2 linked regions of the Drosophila melanogaster genome follow. The protein of the gene in region 1 interacts with the protein of each later gene in a biochemical or structural test. Each region holds a gene or a part of one and is shown on either strand. Other genes may lie near its edges.

The links.
Region 2: the proteins of DIP-iota (region 1) and dpr4 form a complex in vitro, tested with the Drosophila melanogaster proteins (one study listed by BioGRID).

The regions. Positions count from the first base shown.
Region 1 is NT_033779.5:6,616,484-6,623,539, reverse strand, and holds DIP-iota (Dpr-interacting protein iota), read left to right. Parts: upstream 1-1,839; 5' UTR 1,840-2,029; coding exon 2,030-2,114; intron 2,115-4,093; exon of another isoform or gene 4,094-4,460; intron 4,461-5,121; coding exon 5,122-5,365; intron 5,366-5,424; coding exon 5,425-5,780; intron 5,781-5,833; coding exon 5,834-6,115; intron 6,116-6,175; coding exon 6,176-6,247; intron 6,248-6,308; coding exon 6,309-6,400; 3' UTR 6,401-6,406; downstream 6,407-7,056. Other genes in the region: CG34345 (uncharacterized protein), read right to left, coding at 1-136, 197-417; CG11050 (uncharacterized protein), read right to left, coding at 7,027-7,056.
Region 2 is NT_033777.3:11,539,667-11,544,684, reverse strand, and holds the start of dpr4 (defective proboscis extension response 4), read left to right. Parts: upstream 1-1,735; 5' UTR 1,736-2,618; intron 2,619-4,583; 5' UTR 4,584-4,705; coding exon 4,706-4,778; intron 4,779-5,018.

The sequences.
Region 1 (7,056 bases):
CTTTAAGTAAGCAATCAACTTGGGCCAATCTTGATGAGCCCGCCTTAAAAGTCCAAAGGAATTTAGGGGATTGGACACATATTTATATCGATCCACCTTGTGATCCAAATAATTCGGAGTTAAAGAATTAATAAAACTATGTGAAAGTTAAAGTGTAATTCTAGTTTTAAGAGAGGAATTAAAATATATATCATACATTCTGAGAGTTTTGATTTTTTGTTGCAGAAAGCTAACATAGTTGTTTAAATGCTCCATATAGGAATTCTCAATCTCGCGAAGTTCAGACAGGGCTCGAATGGAATTTGAGTATATTACTTCCTGTACTACATCATTTTCGGCTTTCTTTGCTTTGCAAACTGTGAATAGGAATAATAAAATCCAGTTCAGCAGAATATAATGAAATGATCTTAGCAACATTCTGCTGCGAAAACTATATTTTTTCATTTCCTAACGAAGATACTACATTTTAAATTGATTTATATCGCTTATTCGTCAGGCCTATTTTAAATGCTGCGGTGATTGATACACTTAAGTTACACATATACACTGTTTGTATATTTAGCTTAATATAATTTAGTATTTCCCTAACAAGCCTCATAGAACATATTTCATGAGTGATTCTTGTTTCAAAAAATAGTTGTAAATTCGCTTACTTCTTTTAACAGCGCTACACAACACTATAACTTTTAGCAAAGTTATACACCGCCATAATTTTATTGTTAGGTAACATCGGAGTTGTAAACCATTTCTGTTTGCTTTTTCGAAATTTGATTTCGAGTTTCTACACAGTTAGCCAAGACACATACTTTTCATGTGTAAGTAAAAGTAAGGAAAGTTTATTTGAAAGGCTTTATTATACATCAAGCAGAAACAATTTGAAATTATCGGCAGTTTTTTAAATAAATAATTTTTAAATAATGAAAAAGTATGTTAAATCCACTAAACTAACAATTCTTGAATTTAAGTCTATTTTAAAAATATACATAACTAGTCAAGGCAATCTAATGTACGTATTGCCATTCAGATACTCTAAAACGTAAGTTTATTTTGCTGACTAATCAAATTATGAAACAAAGGTAGGATTTATCAATCACTTAGACTTCAAGATTGCATAAAAACACACTCAAATTTTAGCAAAATATTATTTAATTAAGACAGAGGCTCTGACTCAGAGGCCAGAATGAAGAAACGAAGAGAAACTTGCATGGGCCAGCAAAAGATGTGCCCCTAGGGAAAACAACAATCAAGCAAATTCCACGTGCTTATTATGATTATTGTTATCGCTATTGAAAAGCGCTAATTGTGCGCAAATAGCGGTGCGAACTTAATGCCAACTTACCGAGAAGCTCACACATGCAAACCAAGCCAGTTGGAAGTGCAAGCATCGCAGAAAAGCAGAGGAGCAGCAGCTGGAATCCGGAGGGATATGGGGGATACGGGTGAAAGTTGGGCAGAAGATGCGCGGCATTTCGGGGTTAATTAGAATGGTATTGGAGTTGGCCTTTATTCTCCGCCGCCCACAAAAAAATCACCAATAATGTGTCACTTTCCCCCGGCAACATGTCGTATACTTCATATCGTCACGTGCATATGAAAATATTACGTCGGGCGGTTTATGAATGAAACATTTACTATTGCACAGCACCGTCTTTCGGCTGCCGGGCACCTTGACTACTACTGGGCTACAACCATACCCACTAGACACACTAGAACCACCCAACCACCACCCACTACCTTCGCAAGGCCGCAGGACACATGCGCAACGCCAGTGCCGCATTTGAATTTTGAATATGAGTTTTGACACTTGATTATCAGTTCGCGACCAGTTGTACGGGTGTGCGGACGTTTGGCCACGGCAATCGGCGGAAAAAACTTCATCCGCAGAAGCGGAAAAAATACATTTGCGCTGTTGCGGCGGAAGTTGAACTTCGGCCATTTGGGCAGTGAAAGTGGCAGAGTTAAAAATTAAAGTGGGAAATCAGCAAATATTCAAAAGTTTCGCACCTTGATTGCGGTTGAGTTTTCGGCTATGGGAAGGCGATTGCCCAGCTTTTGGCTGCTGCTCCTGCAGAGCGTGTGTTTCAGCCAGGCCAGCTTTTCGGAGCTAAACAATTGTAAGTGGATCGAGGATGTGATTAACTAAAGGATAAATAAATCTGATTGCTAATAATGAAATTAGTCAGAAATATAAGATTTACTTTGAATGAAATGCATAACCCATTAAATATTAAATTAAACATTTTAAGGATAGTTTTTCTCGATTAATATGACGTTTTTTGAATGTTGTACAATTAAAAAGTATCCTGTTTACAAGCTGAACTTTTGTAACCCGCCAACACGAAATGATGAACCCAAAAGTGTACAGCTAATTGACTGCAAACTATCTAAAGCCGGAGTGGTAGCGTATAAAATGGAAGGTAGCTGGTAATCGGAAGTCCAACGAGTCCATAAGTGAATAAACTGTGGCCAACATATTCCCCAGACGGGACAGACAGGATGGCGGTGATAGGGAAAGGGAGCGGGCAGAGGGGTTTCCGGTGGAGAGCTGCGAAAGAGTAACGAGGGGTAACTTCCGCTGGGGAAAATGTGCGCCGAATAAAAAAAACAAAACAAATTTTCCTTGACTTTGGCGAGCCAAATGCGATAAATATATCAAAATTCGACAAAATTCGCATTTAAATCAATGTGCCAGATGCAAAGTAAACATAAATATTGGCAGGCTAGCCGCAGCGTGCGATAAGAAAGTGAGAAGTGGCTCAAAGGAGTGATGATGCACCGCACCGCACGATGTTCCGTGCCAACCAACCAACTCCCACCACCCACCACCCACCGCACAGCGGGCAGGCAGACAGACAGTCGCGGAAAGGCGACGTTTTCCCACTTCCTATTGCACTCTGCGATATTTTCGTTTCATTTTTTTTTCTATTCCTGGCCGGCGGTTTCTGCCGCTGAAGTGCCGCGTTTTTCGGTTGGCGGTTGCGGGTGTGGAACTGCCACTGCAGTGGGTTATTTCGCAGTTTTTACTTAACTTTTTGGCAGACATTGCGTGCTGATTGTGATTGTGATTCCTTTCGCCGGCAGACAGCTGGAGTGTCTAACAGGAGACAGGACATTCACTTTCCGTTTCAAGTTCAAGTGGCGTGGGGAAAGGACACGGCCGGATTTGCAGCGACTTCGCGGGGAAAATGCGGCTTAAGTCCTGGCCGAGCGATTCAAGCGATTCCAGCGATACAAGTCGTGCAAGAAAACAGGAAAATATATTTAACAACTCATAGTCAATTTCCCCTTATAAAATGTGGCAACAACAAAGGCGGTGCGGTGGCGAAAAAGTTAAATGCTAAATTACGCTACCTTGCAGACATAAATAAAAGAAGAAAAGTTTAACTATATGAACACACATGTATGAGTACACTCAGAATAATTTCAAAAGTAGAAATCAAAAGTAAGATATTATACATAATTACTTACCTTGTAGTTTTGTTAGCGTTTTATGTTCATTGCTCCTTTATGCATAAAAAATCTAATCAAAATCTGTTGATGCAAATATATTATTGAAATTTTTGTTTTTTTTATATTAGTTCTTTAGCTTATTATACTTTTATTTCCAGTGCAAAGTACGTTTGTGTTTTATGGCTTAAAAAGTCTCGCTCGTCCCTTTCTTCGGAATGTTTCAATATGCAAACATGCAATAACCAAATTGCAATACCAACAAAAACAGAAACCATATCAACTGAAGGCAGTCAAACAATGGCGCCTCGTTCCCCACACTCAGAGCAACTGAAGGCGGAGCCTTCGGACTCGGACTCCAAAAAAAAAGCGCCCAACTTGCGGCCAGACCCAAACATAATCGCAAATTATAGGCTCTATGGCATGGCATCCGTAGGCTACCCAATTTGATGCTAGTTTGGTGGATACCCCCCCCACACAACGCAATCAATTCGTGGTGGATGGGGGGGGTATACATAAAGGTGTAGCACAGCTTTTTACAATTTTCCAGGTACCAGCACCTGCTGCCCCCCAACCAACACACACACACATACCGCGCTCTATTAGATTTTTGCATTTTTTCGGGTTATTATTTGGTCATAATTGTAATTTAGGCGTTTGCTGGAACAGGAACAGTAGCTGGAACTGGATTCCTCGTCTCCTGGCCACAGAGTCGTGCTACTTGTTAGGCATGTGATGTGATTTCTTCCATTACTCCTGCCTCCAGCCCATTGTTGTGTTTGCGATGGTGTGGGTGGGTTCGGTTTGCGGTTGGAACTCTGGTGGTTAGATTGGCTGACGGCAACTGTCGAAGTCCTGCGGTCGGGCACCTTGACTCAAAATTATTGCGATGGGACTCGAGTTGGCCGAAGCAACAACACGCCGGAAAGCAGTAGTTTGAGTTCATAGTGTGTGAACCCAACGTGTTTATGCTATTATTTACGATAAAATCAAAACATAACTATCCCGCTGTTCAATATTATGTATGTACAATACATGAGGTACTATTTTTGAGTAAAAGTGCTCAGAAAAGAATCCATAACCAAATCATAGGTTTAAGATGATGTTCAAAACTATTGTTTCTATATATATATAATATAATCAACATATTTTACTGATTCAAAAATAGCTTCGTTTTGCTAGTTTTACAATTTGTTAGTGTTGAAGCTACTCTATTTTGCCAGAATGTAGCTGACATCTATAATTTATCTAATTATTGGATTATCTGCCGCTGTCTCGGCCTAATGTTAACCTCAAGAAATTTATGGCCGTTAAACAATTTTAAATATCGTTGACCATTTCGGCGGGCCATCTGGCAACAAACTTGGCCTAGTCTGCGTTGACATTCTGCAGAGACACGCAAAAATGTGCGAGGATAAGAAATGAAATAATTATCCTGATAATTGTGGATTAGAAAAGCTGCACATAAAAAAAGGTTATTTTTTAATTGAATTAAATGTTTGGCGTCTGAGTTCCATTAAAATACAGCAAATGCCAGTGCCTCACATTTGCAAGCCCCATAAACCACCCCAAAAGCCACCCAGCAGTTGTATATCGTCGCCCCATTTAGCGCCCTAATGATGAAAGCCATAAATGCCAAACCATTGGGCTTGGTGCCACCATCTTCCTTTGCAGCGGATCCCAAGTTCAGCGGTCCAATCAACAACTCAACAGTTCCCGTGGGACGGGATGCCCTACTCACGTGTGTTGTCCACGACCTGGTTAGCTTCAAGGTGGCCTGGCTGCGAGTGGACACGCAGACGATACTGAGCATCCAGAACCACGTCATCACCAAGAACCATCGCATCTCCATCTCCCACACGGAGCATCGGATCTGGCAGCTAAAAATACGCGATGTTCAGGAATCGGATCGCGGATGGTGAGTGAAAGTATCTATCAGATAGATGGACCATATTCTTCTACTAGCGTTTACCGTAGGTACATGTGCCAAATCAACACGGATCCCATGAAGAGCCAAATGGGCTACCTGGATGTGGTGGTGCCGCCAGACATTGTAGACTATCAAACCAGTCAGGATGTGGTTCGTTCCACGGGACAGAACGTAACACTCACTTGCAGTGCAACGGGAGTGCCCATGCCCACCATCACCTGGCGTCGCGAGGAAGCGACTCCGATACTGATTTCAGACGACGGCGATCGGGAAGTGTTCAGCGTGGAGGGTCAGAATCTCACCCTGTGGCAGGTGCAGCGCTCCCACATGGGCGCCTATCTCTGCATCGCCTCCAACGGAGTGCCACCCACAGTGAGCAAACGCGTCATGCTGGTGGTGAATTGTATGTGTGAACAAAGAGTTGGATTCAATATATAATACTGAGTTATCTTTCAGTTGCGCCCACGATCTGGACACGCTACGATACCATCTACGTGGGCCTGGGCCAGAAGCTGACGCTGGAGTGCATCACAGAATCGCAGCCGGCATCGGTGAACTTCTGGCTGAGGGATTCGCAATTGCTGCAAGGAGGTTCCTACGAGTCGGTCTCAGTGGACCACGTCTTCCGGATCGTGATGCGGATCACCCTGCGTCCAATAACGAAAAGAGATTTCGGAGAGTACATATGCAGGGCAAAGAATGCGATGGGTCAGACAGATCGGATTATAACCGTGCACCGTAAGTGAGATTATATTTCGGTTACTTAATCCCTTAGATGTAACAAATGTTGACCACCAGATAAGGCCAAGAAGCATGGACAGCACTCGCATCAAACTTCCTCCCGCGAAAGTCAGTTCATTGTCATCGAAGGTTTGTTTGTTCTACAATAAATAGAGTCGCGATAAAGATAACTAGCTAAATCTTATTGCAGAATACATCGCAAATATGTCTGATAAGAGCTGCAGTTTCCAACCGCTTTGGATAATGTTTCTATGTTTCGTCAATAAAGTGTCACTTTTGTGAGCAATCAAACAATGTGTGCTTTGTCTTTTGGCCACGTCTAATGAGTGACTTCATCTTTATATTGCCTAATTCACAATGTTATATTAATAATAATTTTGGTGACAATTGTTCGATTCAAGGGTAAAAGTAACGCACGTGTGAGCAAACTATTAAAAAAAAATCAATTAATTTGATTTTGATTCTGATCTTTTGTTTTGATTTTTACGTTCGGTTGACTGAATAAAATTGCTTTAGGACAACATTTACAATAATTTTTTTCTAAATAGTCTACAATTCGTTTAAGTTATTTACAATTGGATTCCTTAGTCAGATCAATTGAATATATCGATAGAATTCGATCCGCAACTTTACGCTTAACTTAGAGGAAATCGAACTAAGGAGACGTGTTCAACAGGTGTGTTAATATTTAAACATTAATATTTAGCTACTTCCCATCGGTTGCATCTGTTCCGTTTCTTTCGCAATAAATTAGTGAGTTAAGAATTAGATCTAGCTATGAGCGTGTCGAGGTAGGCTTAACAGTTTGTTAGTTGGATTGGCTTACAAATTAAGAGCGTGTTGGTTTGTATGTGAGGATGTGTTCATGTGTTCATGTGCTAGCCTAAGACGGGTTTCTAGAATAACGCTCAACTCGAGCCGTCATGCCCGTTAGCAAG
Region 2 (5,018 bases), on another chromosome or scaffold:
GCCTTAAAAACTCAATTTGTAATAGTATCTCAAAGAGTTCGCCTAATCCAACTGATTATTATCAGATTTGATATTAAATCATAATTCTATAATTATCCAGATCGCTTCTTCCTGTGTTCCGTTTGACCTGATTGCGTGCTAACTTAATTATAGAAATTGTAAACTGCTTAGTGCGGCTCTGCCTCCGTTCTGGTCAACTCGATGTATTCCCATTTCAATTGTTTGGTAATGGAATTCTATAATCAAATGTCAACTCGTGGCAACACACACTCACACACACACACACACGCACAATTGGGAGGGTCAAAACAACTTTAATCATTCGTAATGGCCGCTAGGTGGCGTGTCAATTACAGGGCCATTGTCTGTCAATTTTCTGTTGCATTGGCTCGCTGTTTCTCTACATTGCTATCTCATTCGCTCGCCAGCCACCTATCTCTGTCCGTTTGAGTGCGTCTGTCTCTTTCGCCGGCGCCGTGCTCATTTGCATTGCGATGTTTTGAGGCCTACAGGGCATTCCCCAGTCAAGCACACTCGACTTTATCGGCCTTCGACTGGGTGGGCATTTTATTTATGAGCTCGTAAGGCATGCGTTGAAATGCCCGTTCCGAGTTTTCTGAATACGGATGGGTTGCGGGGGTAGTGGGTGTACTTGCGGGTGTACTGGGGAAGGATGGTTGAGAGGGAGGTTGGGGGGTGGCTACGCTTTCGACAGCCACATTTGTGGCCATAACACGCAACATTTGACATGGTCGGCGCAGCAACGACGACGAGGTACAGGTGTTGGTCGTACCCCCAAACACCCATAGACCCCATAAGCCCCTTAAACCCTCTTATAGCCCTTATAGCGCTTTTAGCCTACAGCCTATACCACGTTTTCTAGTCCCTTAACGAAGCCACACAAATCTCTCTCGAGTGCGACGCATGGACATAAACTGAAATTGGCCTATAACTGTCTGTTCAATTGTTTTTGCGCGAATGGAGGGGGCGATGGGTGCGGTACGGTTCGATGGCGTATAAACTAAAAGGATTCCCATGGCTATACCTATGGCTAAACCAATACCTATATATTGCGGTAAAAATCACATTTACATGGCCCGGGTGTAAATCATTCATGTGCGAGAAAGACACAAAAAAGTGCGGGTTGCCTGTGCCCCGAAATGTAGACTATATTAATATGCCAAAACGAAGGCGTCTCTACTACGAATATTCATTTGTACGTGACTATGGAGCATATTAGGTTCGTCTGGCCACGATTTCCACCACTCGGATTTCGATTCGGCACGACTGTTACCAGTCGGTCTCGCATTGAGGCAGGTTGTGCTAATAACCCAGATAGTACAGATGGCGAAAGCCCAAGAGAGAGAGAGAGAGAGAGAGCGAGGGAGAAAGAGAGACTGCGACGGAGGAAGGATGGAGAGCAAAACGATCCGGCTTGGTGGTTAGCTGGAAAACCAAAGTACGACCGAGTCGTGTTGAAAAACGGAAAGCGACGAAATAAAGAAAAGAAAATAAACCCTTGCCTTAAAATAAAACCGCTCATCAGGCATGCAAAGAAAGCGACATCAAATGGATGGCGAATTAATATTTGATATGCTCTGACTTTCGGGGAAATCCTCTCGCATCCACAGAGGTCCTTTTTGTCGTGCGCCTGCGTGGGAGAGCACCTTTCGGAGTCTCGCGATTCGGAGTCGCGGTGCAAGTTCCTTGCGCTCGCCGAGATGGAATCGAAATCAGTTCCAGCACGCGAATCCTGATGCAAGGATGCCCGTGAACGCTGCTCCGTTGTTGCCGTCGGATAAATCACTCATACGGGAAGGGAAGCACCGGGAAAAGGGAAAGTGCTAGCAGAAGCAGCAGGAGCAGCAACACCATCGCCACATAGCATTGTGCCACATTTAAAAATGAAAACAGACGAAGGAATGAAGTGAAGGCAGAAGCCAAAAGCCGTTTAATAACTAAATCCCACGGACCCATCGTTGGTCACGTTCTGAGACGGATACACAAAATGCCTCTCTCCGCGTATCCTTCGAACTTGTGTGTGTGTGCGTCAGTAACTGTGACTGTGTCTGTGTGCTTCCCTCTGTCTCAGTGTAAGTGTGCATACCTATAGGGCTCTGGCTGGCACCTAATGTGGCCAACATACACATACGCACTTTGCCGACTAAACGAATATAATAATACAAAGCACACGTCCTTGTCGCTCAACTCGCTGTCATCGTGTGCGTGCGTGTCCGTGGATCCATGTGTCCATGTGTCCACTTCCGCCGAACGGATATATTTTCGAAATCCGCGCTATTAAGTAAGCCAGTAAGCCAGACCAGAAATAAACCTGTGTTTGCGATTGGGCCACTTTTTTGACCATTGTTGAACCGAATTGATTGGTGAACTGTGACGTTGGTGAATTGTTGCGGCATTGTTGAATGCCAATCGTTATTGTGCAACTGTTGAATGAGCCATGCCAGCAGGCCCGCCTAATTATTGCGCATTGCGCAACCGAATGTCAAAGCCAAGATCGAGTGTAACGCAGTTGTAAAATCACAGAGCTCAAGGATTTTGCCCGTTTGGATTACGCAGAGGATGACGGTGGTGTCATTTGGAAGTCATTGCCGAGACCCGTAAGTGAAGGAATTTAATTTAATGCGGCACAAGGACGAGCTGGGGAAAAACAAACAATAAATAGGGTCCTGGCTGACTGGCCAAACTGCGGTTGCCCTTTGTCCGCCGTTTCCGTTTGACAGGCCTGAAAAGTTAGGCAAAAGAACAACAGAATAATGTTGTTCCCGGGCAGGCAACGCAAAACAAAAAACTTTTGTTTAATTTCCATGGAGAGTCGAAAGGGCGCCGGCATACGGGGAACTGTTCGGCTAGGCGATAATTCCGCTGTAATAGCTGCGAAAAAATGAAGCCCGCCGTGCCAACCTCTTTTATTATTATATTCCCGGGAAAAAAAAACAAGGAAAACCAGGCACCAGGCAACCGAAAAGCCGTCGGCCGAAAGGCCAAAAGTGACCAAAACAAATGGCTTGGTCCTAGGAGCGGACTGCTGACCCTTGGAGTCACGCAGCTAATTGGACTGACAACAAATGTATATTTTTGAGTAATGACCGGGATTATGAAAGACCGCTCTAGGACCCTACCCTTACTGCCCCCTTTCGCCACGAGCTGACTGATTACCGAGTTTGAGTCATAAATAATGAGAGGGACACCCACGACGAGGACTCGGGGGTATCCTGGCACCAGACTGACAAATTCGCCAAAGGGAAGTCGACTGGGAAAGGAAGTCTGTGAAAGCAATATCGAGTTTATCCCGATAAAACTATATAGTTGACAAGGTCGTTTAGCCAGGAGCTCAGCTTGGGGAAACTTTTTAATTTCATCCTTCACGAAGTTTTCGACTTTTGCCTTAGTTTTCCATTCGGTGCGGGGGTATACCCCCTCCACCTCCCTCACACACCATCCTTTTGAGTTCCCCTTGTAATTGCTTTACCCACATTGCAATGCAATATGACTGACTCCCTGCTTTTGGGTCGTGGAAAGTAATCCCCCCCCCCCCACCAACGACCATGAATGCATTTTCTGTGGCGAATCTGAAACGCATTTTCTTGCCCTGGCAACCAAGTCGAAACCAAAAGCTCAGGCTACATCCGGCATTAACCTCATTAACCCGACATTCAGCACAACCGTTTCCCATTTCCCATTACACTGGCCTGCGATGGCTCTTGTTCTGTTAATTGGAATTGTGGTGCAGTGAGGTCCATAAATATGCACACATAAGTCGCCTTGAATCAATAATTTATGCTTAATTGTTGGATTCTGGAAGAGATCCACAGCATAATGGTGTGCGCAATTGGTTCGATTGAATCTGTTTGGGATATTTTGGCTCGTAATATATATAATATAATTATATATTCTTGGCAATAGGAAAACGCAGCTGCCATTTGCCAGGCAACCAGTAATTTGCTGACCCAGTTATAAAGCTAATTTCAACTCGTTTCTATATTAATTAAATTAGATAGCCATAGAATGGTTGCACTTTTTTCAATAAACAAGCCAATTTTGTTTCAGCTTTAATTGAATATTTTGCCGTGCGTAATTGCAGTGCGTAGTTGTGGGAAAAATATTCTTAATAGTTGGTTTTGAATGGAAAACTAGCAACTGAATTTTGTAATTTTGTTTGAATTATATCGAATAATCATATAATTTGCATGAATTTTACTTTATTATTCATTGCTCATTTAATATTTAACGCTGTATTATGGCTAAATTGTGGCACATGTATATATATATATATTAAGTTTATTGTTATTATTCAATCGTTTGGCCATCTCGGAGTAATGAAACGCACTGTACTAAACAATTGCCGTGATGGGTAGGCAATTTTCCGGCCGACGAGAATGCCATATTGACTTGACCCACTCCGCCCAGTAGTAACCGCCCCCCATCATATTCCGGATATATATCTGGCTTTCATCATTTGCCCGGCAAATTACTTTGCCATTCCCCCAGTTATTTTCCAGGCGTGTCCTTCGCCACTGGTACCATAAAAAAGAGCCCTGGTAATAATATTTCCTCCTTTGCAGATTATTAAACCTTAAACCGTAAACGGAGCAAATACAACAGCCGGCAGGAGCGGAGGATTCCTCATCGCCCTCATCGAAGTAGCTAGCAGCCGTAGTAGCAGTCCGAGTGGAGAGCATAAAACATGTGGACAACGGACTGCCCGAGAGCGTTGAAAGCGATTTGCTTGGTGCCGCTGTGGCTGCTCCTCTTCCTCGGTGGGTATTCCTCCATGAAATTGCACGGCGAAAAAATGTAGGTGTAATCTGTTCAGTAATAGGCAATGCAAAAGGAAAAAGGATCAAAGCCGCAGACGGTTTATAGCCTCATAAATCGCTGAGAGTGAATGTAGTTAGTTTAAAAATGTACAGGCTTTTAAGTGCTCTTCACTGTCCTATTCATTTTGTAATAAAAGAGGTATTACTATGTTCCTATAAGTTTATTAACAACTAAAGTAG